Linked DNA regions of Arabidopsis thaliana. The protein of the gene in region 1 interacts with the protein of each later gene in a pairwise test. Each region holds a gene or a part of one and is shown in the gene's direction. Other genes may lie near its edges. The genes, in order: ETC2, ZAT11, GATA6 and AT5G26630.

The links.
Region 2: the proteins of ETC2 (region 1) and ZAT11 interact in a two-hybrid assay, tested with the Arabidopsis thaliana proteins (one large-scale study listed by BioGRID).
Region 3: the proteins of ETC2 (region 1) and GATA6 interact in a two-hybrid assay, tested with the Arabidopsis thaliana proteins (one large-scale study listed by BioGRID).
Region 4: the proteins of ETC2 (region 1) and AT5G26630 interact in a two-hybrid assay, tested with the Arabidopsis thaliana proteins (one large-scale study listed by BioGRID).

The regions. Positions count from the first base shown.
Region 1 is NC_003071.7:12,959,488-12,964,678, reverse strand, and holds ETC2 (Homeodomain-like superfamily protein), read left to right. Parts: upstream 1-2,516; 5' UTR 2,517-2,763; coding exon 2,764-2,848; intron 2,849-2,951; coding exon 2,952-3,039; intron 3,040-3,576; coding exon 3,577-3,742; 3' UTR 3,743-3,832; downstream 3,833-5,191. Other genes in the region: TCL2 (Homeodomain-like superfamily protein), read left to right, coding at 32-173; KIS (tubulin folding cofactor A (KIESEL)), read right to left, coding at 4,127-4,228, 4,497-4,583, 4,715-4,867. UniProt on the Arabidopsis thaliana protein: MYB-type transcription factor involved in epidermal cell fate specification. Acts as a negative regulator of trichome development, by mediating lateral inhibition.
Region 2 is NC_003071.7:15,703,878-15,708,712, forward strand, and holds ZAT11 (C2H2 and C2HC zinc fingers superfamily protein), read left to right. Parts: upstream 1-2,407; 5' UTR 2,408-2,576; coding exon 2,577-3,113; 3' UTR 3,114-3,347; downstream 3,348-4,835. Other genes in the region: AT2G37420 (ATP binding microtubule motor family protein), read left to right, coding at 29-112, 201-406, 497-598, 674-783, 858-1,009, 1,094-1,288. UniProt on the Arabidopsis thaliana protein: Probable transcription factor that may be involved in stress responses.
Region 3 is NC_003074.8:18,970,144-18,976,031, forward strand, and holds GATA6 (GATA transcription factor 6), read left to right. Parts: upstream 1-2,982; 5' UTR 2,983-3,197; intron 3,198-3,489; 5' UTR 3,490-3,495; coding exon 3,496-3,753; intron 3,754-3,844; coding exon 3,845-4,525; 3' UTR 4,526-4,749; downstream 4,750-5,888. Other genes in the region: AT3G51070 (S-adenosyl-L-methionine-dependent methyltransferases superfamily protein), read left to right, coding at 1-229, 319-468, 572-953, 1,044-1,218, 1,309-1,581, 1,664-1,858, 1,941-2,148. UniProt on the Arabidopsis thaliana protein: Transcriptional activator that specifically binds 5'-GATA-3' or 5'-GAT-3' motifs within gene promoters. May be involved in the regulation of some light-responsive genes.
Region 4 is NC_003076.8:9,347,725-9,352,678, forward strand, and holds AT5G26630 (MADS-box transcription factor family protein), read left to right. Parts: upstream 1-3,087; 5' UTR 3,088-3,090; coding exon 3,091-3,747; 3' UTR 3,748-3,896; downstream 3,897-4,954. Other genes in the region: AT5G26640 (anaphase-promoting complex subunit 11 RING-H2 finger protein), read right to left, coding at 117-171, 317-450.

The DNA.
Region 1 (5,191 bases):
AAGATTTTGGCCATGAACTGAATAATACTAGGTGGGATTTAATAGCAGGAAGAGTGGTAGGACGAGAGGCAAAGGACATAGAAAGATATTGGATTATGAGAAACTGTGATCATTGTTCCCACAAACGACGCCGAGTCCACAAATTTTACCGTTTCTCTATTTCTCCTCCTTAATTTTATGTTATTATGGACAAGATAAAAGCTTTAAGTTGTTGAGTAGAACAAAACTTCGATCGATATTTATTCTTCTCATCAATGGTTGTCTAAGTTATTGTCAATTCTACAAGTTGTGCCACTCGTCTTGTTCCAACTATACATTTTGTAACTCCGTCAAAAATATTGATAGGAAAAAATAATGATTAAACGAGGATATTTTGAAGTTAGTAGATAGCAAAGAAAGAAGATTAATAAAATTCCTAGTGTCATAAATTATCGTGAAATTTAGCGTTTACCATTCCGACAAAGATGAAGGACCACTCACACACACCTTACACTCAGATGGTATAATCATTCATCTTCTCGAGCTACCTCTATTCTTGTCTTTAATTAACTTCTGGCCCTTCCTTTCCTCCGCCATTTAAATTATAATTCCACTTGCAATTCATTTGTGTTTAAGAGTTAATTTACGGTTAAGAAAGAGTTCTGACGATGGAAAATGTTTTAACTAACATGCAAGTAAGGAGTTGTATAAGCTAATATAAGACTCCTAACTCCTTACGTGCATCATAAAAGTATGGGGATCCCTAAAAGAATGCATGAGTTACTTAAGGTTAATTCCACCCACATGCTATCACCATAATTAACAAACCACTCTCAATCAATACTATCAAATCACATAATCTCATGCTTAAGAGTTAAGACACCTAAATCGTTCATACAATCATGCTCACATTCACATATCATATACATTCAATTTCATGCACATGTTCGTATGCACTATTGTTCGTAACCACTTAGCTATCTCAACCATCCATCATTTCACTATCTTAACCATCGAGCCCTCAGATATAATGCTTGGCATCTCTCCATCTCTTAGTCATCTTGACCCTCAAACTTATCTGATTCTCAAGATAGTGAGAGCTCAGGACTCATAATATAGGAGTTTTAGATTTTGCTCACCATATTGGGCCATTAAGCCCTGTTTCCTTTTTTAGTCCAATCAGATCCTATAATTCCAGTGTATACCAAGCTTCCTGATCTTTAAACACTTTTAGGCAAATATAATTTCTTGTCCTTTCTTACTTAGAACCATTCTTCACATGAGAACCATCATTTGTGTATATATATTAATAACTTTCAAAACCTTAATAATGATCACGACATAAAATCTTTATAATGAGAGCGGGTCATTACAGGTGAACTCCTTTGTCCGTCATATCAGCCGTCTTAGAAGCTCGTATGTGCCCAATACTCTCAGGACCAGCCCTGAGCTCGTATGCATTAATTACTGATCTGGTTTTAAAATTTGTATATATACGTACATAGCCATATGGGATACTTCAAATGTATGATTTTGTCTCGACAGCTTTTACAAGTTTAGTCGAAGTGACCAGACAACAGCTGCAATCCGAAAGCATGTTTCAATGAAGTCGTTCTAGTCCATGACTGAAAATTTGTTATACTGAATGTTGTCGATAACTTTCCTTTTGTTAACGAATGCTTGTCGATAAATTTATATATATCCAGTATTATGATCACATAATGATAAATTAGAGGAATTTCATATTTTTGAATTGGTCTTAGCTAATACGTACCACGTAGGATCAATTTTCTCCTAACCTACTTCTTTAATATATAGTGGGTAAAATCATAAATGGTTCATTCTGATTTCACGCTGAGAAAATGATATGCTCATTATATAAGTACCGATTTCTCTAAGACAACTTTCAATCTGTCAGGAAAAGAAATTGATACGTCCGTTTCTTACAGTTACTGCATTTATTATCACTGAGACGATAATTGAGTTCTGTAGATGCATAAATAGGAATTATCTGTAGGGCATGCATATGTAAAATTAGACACACACAAAAAAATCTAAAGAGAAAAAAGCACAAGAAAACAAAAGTTTTGTTGGATTTTGCTAGTATTATTTACGACCCACAAATCTATATCACAACACGAAATTAACGGTTTATGGACTTTTTTTGTCCAATTTTCACGAAGTCGAAAATTTCGGGGAAAAAATTTCACCTAATGTTATTGGAGAACTGTAAAATAAAATTATAGATTATGTACATCCACATTCCACAGCCATCTCCGTCCGTAAAAATTTCTAAAATATAAAAAGAAAAACTGTGATTTTAAATTAGAACTTGTAGGATTACGTGTTCATAATATTTATTGAGAAGTGTATTTGCATGTGATGTTTTTCACTCGATTTTAATACGTTACTAGGCAAAAAAATAAAACTAGCACGCCATTTTAGTGACTGTTAAAATGTTCTGTTATAGGTCAGAAACAAAATCTGATCAAAATTTATTGTGAGCATTATGAACTTTTTGGAATAGTAAAAAACAAATCGAACGTATCACGAAATTATGTTTTGACGTATTCGATCGGGATATATAAAAACAAAAATGTGAATTATAAATTTAGGAATATATACGTAGAAATTCCAATAAAAAATAAATCACCTATCTCTCTCTCTCTCTTTTTATATAACTATTTTTTTCCCTCACATCTTTTCTATATCTTGCATTCTCCAAACTCTACATTTTCAGTTTCTCTGTAAATTTATCTAATATTCTTCTATTTTCCAGTAGTTATGGATAATACCAACCGTCTTCGTCTTCGTCGCGGTCCCAGTCTTAGGCAAACTAAGTTCACTCGATCCCGATATGACTCTGAAGGTCTCTCTTCAATTCATTACTCTACACTCATCCTCCTAACTCGTCAGCGTTAAATTATCTTCTCATTTAATTTTTGTTTGGATAAAACGAAACAAAAATGCAGAAGTGAGTAGCATCGAATGGGAGTTTATCAGTATGACCGAACAAGAAGAAGATCTCATCTCTCGAATGTACAGACTTGTCGGTAATAGGTAACAAATTCTCTTCTTCTGTCATGTCCGATTCAACATATTTTAAAAACAACTAGTATTTTATAAAATTAAAAAAAAAAAAAAAAAAACTAGTATTTTATAATTTAAAAAAAATTCACATGGCGAGAGTAACAAATCAAAGCTGATAAAGTGTTATGTTATGGTAAACATGATTCTAGAGTAGTTTAGACTTTCGAACGTGTTTCGAGAAAAATGACATGCCAATATTTAAGCAATGACATGAGTATTTTACTTGTATAATTTCAAAAAAAGTTTTATGTTGTTGATAAACTGATAAAATGTATAATTAACAGAAACTAAAATTTCTTCTTTTCTTAAAGTGTGATGATTTTAAAAACAGTGAAAGGATTGAATAATATATTGGCTCTTGAATATTATTGTCTTTATATATATACATTTTAAATTTCATTTCTGCATTATATATGTTGACTCCTGAATTTTGATAAATGTTTTTTCAGAATTTTGTGCTCGTCTATAATTCAAAAACACATTATATGCTTGAATATTGATTGTCAGGTGGGATTTAATAGCAGGAAGAGTCGTAGGAAGAAAGGCAAATGAGATTGAGAGATACTGGATTATGAGAAACTCTGACTATTTTTCTCACAAACGACGACGTCTTAATAATTCTCCCTTTTTTTCTACTTCTCCTCTTAATCTCCAAGAAAATCTAAAATTGTAAAGAAATCAAAATAAAAGCTTTCAATCATAAAAGTAGAACAAATCTTGAATGTCTTCTCATCATATAAATGGTTCAGAAATTGTTGAATCTCTTCGCAAAACAAATTAGAATAAGATCACCTTTTCTAAATCCGTGCTCTTAATCTTCACTTAGTTTACAATCATGGTTGTCAAAGTTATATCAATTATCAATCGTTAAGTTGCAGCTTACAACACATTATAGCAAGTGTGCCATTTCAAAGATATTGAATGAAAGAACAATCACCAAAATGTTAAAGAAAGATATTTTTAGTGTATACAGTCGACAAGCAACCTTAGATATAAAGATTCTTACAGATGATTAACCATTCTCAGAATACAGATTTAACACTCATCGCTGGCTAAATCAGGCATCTTCAGTGGGAAACTGCTTCTCCACATCCGCGACTGTCTTCTTTGCATCTTCGATCTCTGGACCTTCCTTCTCATCCGTCTCTTCCAATTCCGCCTGCAAATTCAGTTTTCATTAGAGACAAAAGACAGAGTACGAATTCACAGTTTCCTCTGTGTCCTTATTCATCATTTTTCCTCAAAGAGAGACTAAGATGGTTTCATGCAGGGGATTAATCCAATCGCTATAGATACATATAAAAGTTATAGTTTGATAATGTACTACTGCTCTTAAACTTCAAATCACCGCTCAGCGTTTCTTATAAACTAATACATAAAGCTAGACCGACGCTTAGCAAGCAATAACAATGGAAAATGTAGTTTACCAAAGTGGACTTGAGGTCAGCCAATGCAGACTCGAGACGTTTGTGGCAATCCGGAATCATCATCCTAGACTCACCCAACACATTTTCCTGCATCACCACATACACAGATTAGGAAAAACCAAGTCTAAACACAGCACAACACAGCATTTCTAGATTCTGACGAACAAAGACGGGCTCCGAATCTTCGAATACAGAGAGATAAACAATGAAATCTGTACCTGTTGTTTAAGGTCGTAGGGATCAGCACCTTTGTCCTTCATATCAGCAGTCTTAGCCGCTTCTCTCTCAACTTCTTTCTCATAAGAGTGAAGCTCTTTCACAATCCTTTTACATGTTGATGTTTTTATCTTCAAGTTCCTTATCGTTGCCATTGGATTCTGAGCAAGTACCAAACACAGGACAACCAAAATTAGGGTTTCTACATCACCAGCGAAACAACTCAAACGCAACGATTCTATAACTAGGTTTTGCGATCTCCTTTAAACTTCGATGTCGAATTTGAAATTGAAATAGGGCGATTAGATCAAGACTAATGTAGGTGATAATTCTACGATTCGTGCATTGCAATAGATCGGGAACATTTTGGAATTCATCGATTTCTTTTACTTGATTCCGATCTACATTGAGATCGACACAAAGCTAGATTCGATTGAAAATTAAAGGAAGATATACTGTGAAATAGAAGAAGTAGGGTT
Region 2 (4,835 bases), 2.7 Mb from region 1:
ACAAACTCATCCGTTTTGATGAAAACAGGAAGAGGCTGAAAGAGAGGAGAAACAAGCCTTAAATGATATCAGTCTGATATTATCAAAGTTAACTTCAAAGAAAACTGCAATGGTGAGTCTTTAACCATTATAACCCCCTTAGGCTTGTTTTATTCATCAGTTGAATCAAACTTAAAGACTGATGCTCTATGTGTTTCTAGATTTCTGATGCATCAAGCAATATCCGGGAACATGACATACAGGAAGAGAAGAGATTGTATGAACAAATGTCTGGTATGCAGCAAGTCTCGATTGGTGCAAAGGAAGAATTGTGTGACTATCTAAAGAAAGAGAAAACTCACTTCACGGAAAACACAATAGCTTCAGCTGAGTCTATCACAGTCATGGATAGTTACCTTGAAGATTGGTATAAATTCCATCTCCCCACTGCTTTCTATTCAAACCTCTCACTTAATTTGCATTATGTCTTCTCATACAAAGATTGTATTTATTGCAGCTTGGGAAGGGCCAATGATTCTAAAACATTGTGGGAGACCACTGAAACAGGCATAAAGAACCTTAACACGAAGTATCAACAAGAACTTAATGTCACAATGGAGTAAGTTTTTAACTTCTGTATCCGTGCATCTCTCTGTTTCCACATCATTTCACTGAATAAACTATCTACGTATAGGGACATGGCAAAAGAAAATGAGAAGGTGCAAGATGAATTTACATCCACATTTTCCTCAATGGATGCTAACTTTGTCTCTAGGACAAATGAACTTCACGCAGCTGTTAATGGTAACCACACTAAACCTCTGTTCCATTCCCTACTCAAGAACTACTCAAAAACGTCCTAATCCTTGGTTTTACAGACTCATTGATGCAAGACCGTGAGAACAAAGAAACAACAGAGGCTATAGTAGAGACTTGCATGAACCAGGTCACATTATTGCAGGAGAATCATGGACAAGCTGTTTCAAACATTAGAAACAAAGCAGAACAGTCTCTCATAAAAGACTATCAGGTACTTAAGCAATCATAATGGAAAATCTATAGTGTGATCTATATGTGTATACATTAACAGCAAAGCTTTGGATAAAATGAACAGGTTGATCAGCACAAGAACGAAACACCAAAGAAACAATCCATAAATGTGCCAAGCCTGGATTCGATTGAGGAGATGAGGACTTTGTTTTCGCAGAATACTCTCAGCGAAGAACACACAAGTTTGGAGAAAATATCAACAAAACAAGGACTTGGCGAAGCTAACAACAGAACTCCATTCTTGGAAGTAAACAAATGAGTAAAAAAGAAAGCTTATGTTCATCAGCTGGATGAGTGTAGAAGATTAAGACTGTGTAAAGGTTGTTATGTAGTAGTACGCAAGCTTATGTTGTCATGGATAAATCTGGTTATATTTTGACATTAAACCGGTATGCAGATTGCTGAAATTTTAGATTTTATGGATGACGTTTCCGGTTAAATTGGCTTATTTTCTCATTTGAGTCAACCAAATATGAAAAAAAAGAAAAGTAAAGAGAGAACAAAAAGAACACAAGACTTTGCATTGCTTCCACAAGAAAACATAATAAAGTCAAGAATAAGCACATACCTCTAATAGTCTAATTTACCACTTTTTTTTTTACTTTGACTTGCTCTTCCATAAAATTCAATTGCTGTCGTCAAGAATCCGTCACTGGTGACGATTTCAGTATTGAGCTCTTATTACTATCTAGATGAACAATGTATCAAAAAGGCTTTTGTTTGGTCTCTAGTGCATGTGTTTGACCAAATTGAATTTTCTCTTCGAACAAGGTAATGATTGTATTCGAACTTGGATCTGAAGATTACTTTTGTATTTTAGCTTTGCGCAAGTTTGAAGATTTATTTTTTTATAAAAAAAAAGTCTTGAAGAATGTAGTTTTTTTTTTACTATACAATAAAATATGAAAAAACAGTTTACCAAAGGGGAAGAATTACTTATTTAGAGCTCTTTAAGGCTGTATTTTCCAATGATTAGTCTAAAGTACATTGAAATCCTTAATTTTATATTTTTTGATTAGGATACAGTTGGTTAGGTGTTGATATAAATTATTAAGTTATGCCTGTGGCAAGCAAGTCCATGAGAAACCAAGTTGCTTGATTTATTCTGTGTTGTGTACACATGTGTTGACTATGCTACTTTTGTTAGATTCACATTTTTAGCAGTAGAAGTTTCTAAGAAATGAGAACTATGTGATGTATTACGGGAAAGACGATATTACCCTTGTTATTCAACACCCGTGGTATGCATTGTGCCGGCGGTCGAAGGGTGATATTGAAAATGTCAACTTGTCTCAAGTCAGAGAATCAGTGCTCTGGTAGTTGTGTTAGATAGAATATTAGTTTAGACGACTTCTTTTGGTCAAACTACTAGAAAGTCCAACCTTTTAGGTAATTGCTCTTATATAAATATACATTACTTCTAAGTTCTCAACCTTCATTACAAATCCTCTCAATTCAGGTTTCTTTTCTAACAAGCAAAAACTCCAACCTTTACTTTATTTTTGTTTTGTTTTGTAACCCTCTCAGATCTTAATTCTCAAAGAAGTATGAAGAGAGAAAGATCTGATTTCGAAGAATCCCTCAAGAATATTGACATTGCTAAATGTCTGATGATACTAGCACAAACCTCCATGGTCAAACAGATCGGTTTGAACCAACATACCGAGAGCCATACAAGCAACCAATTCGAATGCAAAACATGTAACAAGAGATTTTCTTCGTTTCAAGCCCTTGGTGGCCACCGGGCAAGCCATAAGAAGCCAAAGCTCACCGTTGAGCAGAAAGATGTGAAACATCTTAGCAACGATTATAAAGGAAATCATTTTCACAAGTGTTCCATATGCAGTCAGAGTTTTGGGACCGGACAGGCTTTAGGTGGTCACATGAGACGGCATAGGTCAAGCATGACGGTCGAGCCATCGTTCATCTCTCCGATGATTCCATCCATGCCGGTTTTGAAACGATGCGGTAGTAGTAAGAGGATTTTGAGTTTGGATTTGAATCTGACTCCGTTAGAGAATGATCTTGAATATATCTTTGGGAAGACATTTGTCCCAAAAATAGATATGAAGTTCGTTCTTTAGTTTTTTTTTTCTTTATCTTTAAGAAGACATTTGTCCCAAAAATGATTCATTTGTATTGTAATTCCTATTCTTTTAATTCTTCAAACGTTAATGTCAACAAACTTCATGGTATATGTGTGGGGTCCCTACTCCCTATATAGTATATTCATATGTGCGTTCTTGGTTATCATGTACGCTAGAAAAAGATTTTAAACTAAATTATTTAGTTTCCATTCCTGGAACAAGTACAACATATTCATAAGCGGGCCAAATTTTGGGCCATATCCCCTATGGAATTGGAAACATATTCCTTTTGCCTTGGCATGTATGATATGCAACAAAGGATCCTGAATATATTACGTTTATCATTTTTTTGCCAATGGCTTGAATTTATATTAGATGATTTTTCTCTAGACAATTGCAAAATTCTATTGTCGTCATCACTATCGTCGGATATTTCTTATTTTTGCCATCATCATGTAATTTAGGATATGACATGCTTTGATTATTATCATTTTTTTCAGTGGCTTTAGTTTTGATGTTAGATATTATAAATTTATAACAAGCTTGATCCTCTCTAGTTACCTAAATTATATTGTCGTCAACTCGTCATCACTAGTGTAAAAATATCTAATTAATTTCTTCAGTTTAATTAATTTCCATTCAATTTTGACAAAAAGAAGAAAACAAATCGAAAAAAAAGAGAAGAATGACCGTTCGGAATTAAAACAATGCATGAGTTTTTAACTCTTATAGCTCTTCAGTATAACTTGTTCTTTAATGGCAGTAAAAATAAAGAATGTAACTTGTTTTTCTTACTCTAATGTCATTGTACAGTCTGTTATATATTTTGCTTCTATTTCTTTTAGTTACATCTAAAAAATAGGTGTAAGACACAGTTATAGGATTTATAGCTATAGGTCGCCAGGTAAAATGTACATAATTATGTGGGAAAACCTTAATTTCTGCTTCTGCATTTCTGCTTCCGTCTTTCGGCTTCTCAAGGTTTAATTTATGTTTTTTAACGCCTTTCAACACTTAAAGCACTACATCGCCGTGTTTGTAAGATACTTTCTCTCATTCCTTTTAGGTTTTTCTCCAGCGCGTGTTTATTAATTAGATTTAATATAAAATGAATTTTATCATCTCAGTTCTTTAAATCTTCATCATTATTTCGTCAAATACATTAAAATAGCCAGAAAAAATCAGTATATAGATGCTAGATCATGTGTTTGTGTGTGGATTTTATTTTCATTTTTTCGCCTCATTCATTATTTCGCTTGATTCATTATTTTGCCTAATTCATTACTTAGATAGTTTTTGTATACAATAAAAATGCAACTTTTGTGTTATACACTAGTTTTATGATTCTGAATGCTTACAACTTTTGTCTCATATGGTTTTCATCTCTTTTAACCTTTGGATTTTTAGATACAACATATTAGTGCAGATCTCGTACGTTTTGTGTTGTTCTTCACAGTGTAGAGATGATAGATAAGAGAAGAAATACAACAAAAGTGAAAGGAAAAGTTCGAGCAACTGATGACGTGGTAAACAGTTTTTCCTTCCATTTTTGTAGATTAGTGATATCTAAAATCTACGTATTATTATTAATGTAATTTTCTTTTTTTTTATACATGCATTTTCAGAACTACCAGATATATACAAAAAACTTGTTTTTTTCATTAGGAGTGTGTAATTACAGTTTGTTTATTTCAATGTGTGTTACAATTTTTGTTGTTC
Region 3 (5,888 bases), on another chromosome or scaffold:
AAACACCGTAGAGAGGATTATGGATGGAAATGCATGGGTGCTGTGCAATGCAACTGCAGGAACTGACTATATACCATGCCTAGACAACGAAGAAGCTATAATGAAACTAAGGAGTAGAAGACATTTTGAGCACAGAGAGAGACATTGCCCAGAAGACCCACCAACGTGTCTCGTCCCCCTCCCAGAAGGTTATAAGGAGGCCATCAAGTGGCCTGAAAGCAGAGATAAGGTAAAAATTTCTATAAAAAAAAAAAAAAATTTCCTTGAGGTGATATAATGTAAAATTGGATAGAAGTTAACTCACATGTGATCTAGTAGATATGGTACCACAATGTCCCACACACAAAGCTAGCTGAGGTAAAAGGACATCAGAACTGGGTGAAGGTCACTGGCGAGTTCTTGACGTTTCCTGGTGGTGGAACACAGTTCATCCATGGAGCTCTTCATTATATCGATTTTCTTCAGCAGGTGAACACTCATTTCTTGATTTCAGTATAGTGTTAAAACTGCAACAAGTAAAAGATAGAAATTTTATGCAGAATATAATGGTTCCTTTTTTCTACTATGGCAGTCTTTGAAAAACATTGCGTGGGGTAAACGTACTCGGGTCATATTGGATGTTGGATGTGGAGTGGCGAGCTTTGGCGGTTTCCTCTTTGAAAGAGATGTTATAGCAATGTCTCTTGCACCAAAAGATGAACACGAGGCTCAAGTCCAGTTTGCTCTTGAAAGAAAGATTCCAGCCATCTCAGCAGTTATGGGCTCTAAGCGACTGCCATTCCCGAGCAGAGTGTTTGATCTTATCCACTGTGCACGTTGTAGAGTCCCATGGCATAATGAGGGTGGTATGCTTCTTCTGGAACTTAATCGGATGCTTAGGCCTGGAGGTTATTTTGTCTGGTCAGCAACACCAGTCTACCAGAAGCTTGAAGAAGATGTTCAAATCTGGAAAGGTAATGACTAAAGTAAAATGCTTGAACTTAACTAGAGTTCCTCCTTCTTTTGTTTGTTTCACTGAACCTGAGATGTTTTGAGTGATGTAGAAATGTCCGCGTTGACAAAATCCTTGTGCTGGGAACTTGTGACAATCAACAAGGATAAACTCAATGGTATTGGTGCTGCAATCTACCAGAAACCTGCCACCAATGAATGTTACGAGAAAAGAAAGCACAACAAGCCTCCACTGTGCAAAAACAACGACGATGCAAATGCAGCCTGGTATGATTGTTTCCACAATTTGCATAGGGAATGAATAACCATAAGGTTTTAACAGAACAAAGAAAGTCAAAACTTGAATGGAAATTTCAGGTATGTACCCCTACAAGCATGTATGCATAAAGTTCCTACCAATGTGGTCGAGAGAGGAAGCAAGTGGCCCGTGAATTGGCCCCGTCGGCTTCAAACACCGCCTTACTGGTTAAACAGCTCTCAAATGGGGATATATGGGAAACCAGCTCCTCGAGATTTCACTACAGATTATGAACACTGGAAACATGTTGTAAGCAAAGTATACATGAATGAAATAGGAATCAGCTGGTCAAATGTGAGGAATGTAATGGACATGCGAGCTGTCTACGGAGGGTGAGCATCAACGAAAACAAATCAAACTAAAATCTCACTTACCAAAACTAAACCTTTTTTTACTAACTACGTAAAAATGCAGGTTTGCAGCAGCTCTGAAGGACCTACAGGTGTGGGTAATGAATGTAGTAAACATAAATTCACCAGATACACTACCGATAATCTACGAGAGAGGCCTATTCGGAATATATCATGACTGGTGTGAATCATTTAGCACATACCCTCGAAGCTATGATCTCTTACATGCAGATCATCTTTTCTCAAAGTTGAGAACAAGGTATAAGCGTAACTCATAATATCCACACCTTTTGGTAACGTTTCATCAACAATAAGTCTCTTGTTTTGTTTTGTTTTGAAAGGTGCAATCTTGTTCCAGTAATGGCAGAAGTGGATAGAATAGTAAGACCAGGAGGTAAACTAATAGTTCGTGACGAATCAAATGTGATAAGAGAAGTTGAGAACATGTTGAAGTCACTGCACTGGGATGTTCACTTAACTTTCTCCAAACACCAAGAAGGAATCTTAAGTGCACAAAAAGGATTCTGGAGACCAGAAACTTCTCAATGAAAGACGCTCTGAGAATCTGCATTTGAAAGTAGCAGAAGCATCATTATAATACAACACACTACTCATATCTATAATCCCCAAAAGAATTTGTCAGTATAAGAAATAGCTTTAGTCTTCTTAAACTATATAGACTAATTAGAACATTTTTGTTTTCCTTACTTCATATTGCTTTTTTTAACATGGTTATGATATTCTCTTGTAAGGCTATGAATCATTTCACTGGGAAAAGTAAGGCACACCAATAAATGAAATTTTGTTCCAACAAGTAGAAACATAGCAGTAATGAAGAAGAGATTATGATGCTTTAGCGATACCACAAGCCAAATTCACCATAAGCTATTGACAGGTAGCGAAAAGTCAAATTACAAAAGGAATAAAGTAGACATGAAATGAAACCAACAATCTTAAGCCCACATATGAATTCAAAAGAGAGGTTAAGAAAGAAGAGAATCTGACATCATGGGCAGAGTAGGAGCTGAAGAAGATGGGTTTCTGCAAATTTGAAGCTTTTAATCGCATATCGCTGAGTAATCATCACAAACAGTTTTGAATTGAAGAAGACGGGAGGAGAAAAGCCATTGTTAATGAGATACCCAAATCGTAAAATTTCAGAAAGCCCAGCCCAACATAGCCCAATACAGCCCAAATATGTATGTGATTGGGTAACGAAAACGAGACCGTTCTTTTTTCAGTCATCTCTCGTTTCACAGTAGCGCGTATGTACGCTTTGAATTTACAAAAAGTAGACATTTTTATGAATTTTTGCCGGTTGAGTAAAAAGGTAAAAAAAAATAGTTCCCACCAAAGCAAAATATTTCAATTTTTATCTTTTTTTTTTGGTTCTTGGGAAAATAAGAGATTGAGAAAGAATAAAGAAGAGAAACTCACAACTTTTTTAGTTTTAGGAGAAGAGGGCTTTGGTCTGGAGTCACTATCATATTCAATGCTTTACCAAACTCACCTCTTCTTCTAAATTCTCACCACTCTTCTTCTTCTTCTCATTCACCGACATATCTCCTCTCTTCACTCTCTGTCTCTTCTCATCTCAGGTAATTCCAATTTTAGTTTTTTTTGAAGGTTACTTACTCGTCACATTGTTTGAAAAAGATTGAATTTTTATCTGTGGCTTAGTCAAATCATGGTTCGTTTCACCAAGTTGTGGTTCTGGGTTTTCGTGATTTTTCTTTTGGGTTTTTCTGTTTGAATTTGGAAAAATAAAGGAACGTTTTTTTTTTCGGGGGGAGTTTTTTTTTTAAAGATAATTTTTGGAGAGTTTTTGATAATTCTGAGGAAGCCAAAAGAAAAGAAGAAAACCTAATTTGTGTTGGTGGGGTTTGATAGGAAATAATGGAGAGTGTTGAATTGACGTTGAAGAACAGTAACATGAAAGACAAAACCCTAACCGGCGGCGCTCAAAATGGCGATGATTTCTCCGTCGACGACTTGCTTGACTTCTCAAAAGAAGAAGAAGACGACGACGTTTTGGTTGAGGATGAGGCTGAATTGAAAGTACAACGAAAAAGAGGAGTCTCTGACGAAAATACCCTTCACCGGAGCAACGATTTCTCCACCGCTGATTTCCACACTAGCGGGCTTTCCGTTCCGGTATGAATTTGTGTTTTCATTTTCGCAAAATTTATAAAAATTATCAGTCATTGCATTGTTAATTTCTTGCTTTTCATGTTTTGATTGTTAGATGGATGATATAGCGGAACTTGAATGGTTATCAAATTTCGTAGATGATTCTTCTTTCACGCCGTATTCTGCTCCGACGAATAAACCGGTTTGGTTAACCGGAAATCGGAGACATCTTGTACAACCGGTTAAAGAGGAGACCTGCTTCAAATCCCAACATCCGGCCGTCAAAACCAGACCCAAACGAGCCAGAACCGGAGTCAGAGTCTGGTCTCATGGTTCGCAGTCGTTAACCGACTCATCTTCAAGCTCTACAACATCTTCGTCGTCCTCTCCTCGTCCTTCAAGCCCTCTATGGCTCGCCAGCGGTCAGTTTCTTGATGAGCCAATGACTAAAACACAAAAGAAGAAGAAAGTTTGGAAAAACGCTGGTCAGACGCAAACGCAAACGCAGACGCAGACGCGGCAGTGTGGTCATTGTGGAGTTCAGAAAACGCCGCAGTGGAGAGCAGGACCATTAGGAGCGAAGACGTTGTGTAATGCGTGTGGTGTGCGTTACAAATCGGGTCGGTTACTACCCGAATATAGACCCGCTTGTAGCCCAACATTTTCGAGTGAGCTTCACTCAAACCACCACAGTAAAGTCATTGAGATGCGTAGGAAGAAAGAGACTTCTGACGGTGCTGAAGAAACCGGTTTGAACCAGCCGGTTCAGACGGTTCAGGTTGTCTCGAGTTTTTGAAGAAATTGTGGAAGGTTTTTAAAGGAGCAGAATTAGGATCCGACCCGGTTCAGATTTATCACCAGTTAGTATGTTAACGGGTTATGTATGTTTTAAATTACAAATTTGATTTTTTGTTTGTTAGTCGTAGTAGGTTTTTAGATTTAGTAACTGGTTAAAACTTTTAAAACTCTTACTATTATATTTGTTTTGTTTCGCATTAATTTTCAGAATTCTTTTTTTCTTAACCTCCTCTAACGTTATATTTACGTTATAATATATAGTTTTTATATTAATTGATAGAGATGGTTCATTTTCTAGTTAGAATGTATGCTCAATAATTATTGGTAGACTGATAGTTATCAAGTGTATAAAATATGAGATCAATTTATACCAAATTAGGAGTAGGCTTTATTTCAGGGTTAGTAACTCCAATTTTTTGTTGTTACTTATTTATATCCATCACATTTTCTCTTGTATTTCTAAAATTGACATAATATAACTGAAAAAAAAAACAAATTTCACAAATAAAAATATATACAATAACTGAAAAAAGAAAAATAAACGTACTGGGCACACTCTCTTATTGACTAATTTATTACTCTGCGTATTTTTGGAGATTGAATACGACCTTAGTTGACGTGATAATATTATCCATTTTTGCAATGTGATAATATTCGTTGACCATATCTTTGAGATTATCACGAATTACCAATTTACCTTGGGACTTTATTCCTCGTATGGTTTTAGTTGAGTTGACTATTAATAATAGCTTTTAGTACGTGTTTCGTAAATGCTGCATAATATGTAACTAACTAAACAATTCGAATATATATATACTAGTTTTAACATTCGTCTCACACGCTTAGCTTTCTCCTTCACAACGATGAAAACGTCTCCTGATTTCAAAAGTGAGATCATACTCTTTTTTAATTTGCTAATTTTTTAATAACAAATCATATGTTTTTCTTTTGGCTATATTTAAGGGAAAATTACACAAGAAGCATAAACATTAAAAGTTTGAGAAATTACTATTTCTACGTTGAAGGTATACATTTTGGTTTTTACTTTATATATACACATTACATTTTTGACCATTCGGATTGTAGACGTTGTGCAATGCGTGGTAGAGTTTCGAGTGGGCTCCATTCTAATCACCACTGTTAAATTCATTGAGATGTGTACAACGGAATTAAGAAGATGTTCGACAAGGCTGATAAACTTGATTTAAACCCGCTGGTTCAGGTTGTGCCGAGTTTTTGAAGAAATAGGGAACATAATTAGGATCTGACCCGGTTCAGTTTTAGCATCAAGTACTTTCTGATTAATTATTTTGAACTTTTAGTTTGTATTAACTTGATTATTGTTCGTGGTAGTCGTAGTT
Region 4 (4,954 bases), on another chromosome or scaffold:
AATATTCATACAAAGGTCGAACTTAACTCTGATTAATGATTTATTACATCTCTATAAAGTGGATACAAAGCTAGATGTCTAATCAAGGCGCAATATAAAATCTCTCTCTTCCCACTCTAGTTACTCTTTATATTTCCATCTTCTACGACACATAGGGCAATGGCCATAGCTCTGATACCATGTAATTGTATGAATCTCCGTGAATGGAAAGTTATGTATTGAACATATATATATAGGGTTACATGAGATAAGCATAAATCTGTTCATAAGATATTAGATATATACAAATATAAGATTCTCATATATCTAATCTAACAGGCAATAATCCCCGAGGAGTTTACTTAGAGGGCAATCATCCTCAGGGAGTTTGCAGTCAGGACAAGAAGCATCAAATGGCATCCGACATAACCCACATGTCTCATCTTGAGCATCCCATGTACCCCATGCCATCTAAAGTTTCTCACAATGTAATAGTTTTGGTGTATGAACCGTAAGAGAATCCAACAAAGGATTATTGAAATAGAAAATAGTCAAAATGCTATAATTTGAAATAGTTCATTAGAGCTTTATTGTGCAAAAATATAAAAAGAGGGAAAATAACTTAGATTGTCACCAAAACAAAGAGATTGTGGTTAATATTTCATAAAATGGATGAACGAGAGTTGTTTACATCTTTTAGACACATAACAATCCTATTTATATCACTTTCCAAAGAAACCCTAACACACATAGGCTTACAATAACACACATTAGATTTGTTTTGGATTTGTGTTTAGCTTTTAATTCCCTTGAATGGTCTTACATAAATTAAAATTGCATGTAATACTGAGAGTCAATGAATTTACTCTGTTTTTGAGTTTGAAAACATTGTAACACTGAGAGTCCATGAAAAACCTGTGTTTGAAAAAACAAATACTAATTGCAGGCGCATTGATCAACTGATCTTATTCTGCCCTATATGAATCAGTTGAGAGTTGATAAGAAGAATCCTCATAAGAAACTACTAGAAAGTCATCAACATCACTAACCAAAATACTCTTGGGCTTTCCAAGTCCAATCTAACTTCCACATTAATATGATATTGTCCGTTTTGGGCTAAGTGGCTAAACCCTCACAATTTGTTTATTGGGCTCCTAAGGTTGAATAGTGGAATATAGATTTAAACAACTTCTTCAACAGGTTCAAGAAGATTTCTTTTAAAGTTTTAGATCTAAACAAATATGTGGAGACAACAAACAAAAATCCAACGTACTCGGAATAATCTGAAATTTGATAGCATGTTCGGGAGACGAGAACTAAGGGATCAAATTTTGGTTCAGATGGTGAAATGAACTAAGTCGTTTTAGGAGTTAATTCGTAAGCTTATTGAACTATGTTTGGTTAAAGTTACTAAGTTTAAATTTCTCGTTCTGTTTTTTAACCACATAATAACGAATATTTTACATAGAATAATATAGAGAGAGGATGAGGAAGAAAGTGAGAAAATAACGAGGAAGATGAAGATGAAGACTATAACGAAGAAGTGAACGAGAAAGTAATGATGACAACGGCTAAAAGAAAATTAATAATTAAGATGACAAGAATGAATATGAAAAGTAAGAAACAACGAATGTGAAGAGAAATACAAAGACATATGTGTTGACATTCAATTGAATATGAAAAAATAAAATTGATTTATGATTCTTTCAAATAAATTCGATTCTTAAACACTACTGATTTTTATAATTTTAATATAGTGTATTTGAAATAAAATTGAATTTTTACTTCGATTTAAAAAATATAATTAATTGTATGTATTTCTTACCGAAATATATCAAAAATACACACGTATAGCGTGGGTACAAAACCTAGTTACAAATACAAAGATTAAATATGTGGGCGAATCTAATTATTTTGAATGGTTTATAAATGCTAGTTCAAATCCACATGTTAGATTTTGAAAATTTCATGGCATTTTAAATTTTATATAGATTTCAAAATCTTTGGCAAAAGGTAATAATATAGATTTCCAAATTAATTAACATACACAAACTAATACTCCCTCTGTTTTGAAATAGTTTTCGTTTATGGTGTTTTTACAGAAATTAAAAAATCAATTTTTTTTTATTTTACCCTTGTTTAATATTTTTTTTATTGGTAATGACATAAAAACAATAAGAATATAATTGGAATTTTTACCAAACATCTACATTAAAAATCTAAACCGATAAATATTATCAAACAAAATTTTAATGCTAGAACGAAACCTAAACTAATACGGAAGGAGTAATATCCTCTTAAGAATGTTTTTTTTTTAAATTACTTCCGTAGTTACCCTTTAAAAACATTTTTTTAATTGATTCTTGACCTTTTTTGTTATACTTTGTTTGCAAAAAAAACTTAAAAAATCTTTATGAAAATGATTTTTCAGTCAAGATTACCCACCACAATATAAAGTAAAATCATCTAGATATATATTCTATGTATGTTCAAACTATGTAATATTTATCTTTATTATATGTAGATATGTTTTCCATACATATAACATTTCAGAAAAAATAATGATAAAAATATTTGTAAAGTAAATGTTTTCCACATAAGATATGTTTGGATAATTATTAGTAATAACAATTATTTTAAAAAATATTTTATGAACCAGATAAAGAATAGTCGTTCGGTCAACTGGTCATGGATAAAAACTATTTTAAAAACTCAGCACTATAAGACTATAAGTCTATAAGTCTTTTTGAACAAGTGTCAGTTCTTGTTATGCAAAATTTTGGTATTAAGAAGTAACTATACCCAAAAGTTAACAAGGACAATTATTCAGTTAAAGTGTAACTATACTTTTCACAAACAAACTAAAAAACTTGTAACTAGATTAGTAGACTCCTTAATTCCTAAGTAAAAAATAAAAAATTGAAAAAAAAATTTACTTCTAAACATATATATATTTCTTTCCATTATCGTATTACCAATTTTGATATCCCTAAAAAGGTATGATATATATATGGTTGAACTGAGATAAATTTTGCTTAATTCCAACAATCAGATCTTCTATATAAAAAGCACTTCTCCATTCAAAAGTATAACACACAAAAAAATAAAGTCATGACGAGACAGAAAGTGAAAATGACTTTCATAGAAAATGAAACAGCAAGAAAATCAACATTCAAGAAAAGAAAGAAAGGTCTTTTGAAGAAAGCTCAAGAGTTGGGAATTCTTTGTGGCGTCCCGATCTTTGCTGTCGTCAACAGTCCGTACGAGCTGAACCCGGAGGTGTGGCCATCGAGAGAGGCTGCGAACCAGGTGGTGTCCCAATGGAAGACGATGTCGGTGATGGACAAGACCAAGAAGATGGTGAACCAAGAGACCTTTCTCCAACAGAGGATCACCAAAGCAACCGAGTCTTGGAAGAAGTTGCGGAAAGAGAACAAAGAGTTGGAGATGAAGAACATTATGTTTGATTGTCTTAGTGGCAAAACTTTGGTTTCTAGTATCGAAAAAACTGAGCTTCGAGATTTTGGTTATGTCATTGAACAACAACTCAAAGATGTTAATCGTAGGATCGAGATTCTGAAAAGGAACAATGAACCATCTTCCGCCCTCGTTCCTGTTGCTGCCCCTACAACATCTAGTGTCATGCCTGTGGTTGAGATGGGTTCTTCTTCGGTTGGATTTTACGACAAGGTTCGAGATCAAATTCAAATTACTTTGAATATGAAACAGACCACAAATGATTTGGATCTGAACAAGAAACAGTGGTGAGCCATCGTTGATCTTATTTTAAGTTGTTGTCATTTCAACTATCAATAAAAAGTTATTGTTTTAGTTCTGTTTGTTTAAGTTACATGTTTGGGTTGGTTTCACATGTAGTTGTATTTTCTCATGAATGAAATTTATTTTTCTTTCGTTAATTAATGTTTTCTCCTTATATATAATCGTTATGAATAAATGCATGCATCATATCAGTTCTTAAAACATGTTTTCTATACAGTAATGGCACAAGAATTGCATTCTCTGAACATAAACACAAATGGAAACCAAGCCATTGTGTCCAGTCTCAAATATTTGTAATTTAGATCCATCACTTTTCGACAACCAAGCTCGTTCAAGATTTAAGAGGTTTAATTCTGTATAAAAGGTCGTGATTTAAGACTTAACACTCCATTAAGTTTGAATAACATTGAACTAATTGAGGTCAAGTAAACCTAAATAAGAATTTATTCGCCAAAAACAATATGTTGATAACTAGGTTTGGCAATAAAATATTCAGATTTTAAATTAGGATTTTTACTAGCCAAATTGCGTAAGTTGAGATTTTTATTGGGCAGAATACGTATAATTGATTTTGCCAAATGAGGGCCAACATTGATAAACTTAACACTCCATTAAGTTTGAATAACATTGAACAAATTGGGGTAAAGTAAACCTAAATAAGAATTTATTCGCCAAAAAAAATAAGTTGATAACTATTTCTGGCAGTAAAAATATTGAGATTTTGTATTGGCCAAATTGCGTAAGTTAGGATTTTTACATGCCAAATTCCGTAAGTTGGGATTTTGATAGGCTAGAATGCGTATAATTGATTTTGCCAAATTAGGGCCAACAGTAATCAAACTTAACACTACATTAAGTTTGACTAACATTGAACAAATTGGGATAAAATAAACCTAAATAAGAATTTATTCGCTAAAACAAATAAGTTGATAACTATTTTTAGCAGTAAAAATATTGAGATTTTGTATTAGCCAAATTGCGTAAGTTAGAATTCTTACAGGCCAAATTGCGTAAGTTGGACCGCCAAATTGTGTAAGTTGGACCGGCCAAATTGCGTAAGTTGGGATTTTGATAGACAAAATGCATATAATTGATTTTGCCAAATTAGAGCCAACATAATCAAACTTAACACCCCATAAAGTTTGAATAACATTGAACTAAATGAGGTAAAGTAAACCTAAATAAAAATTTATTT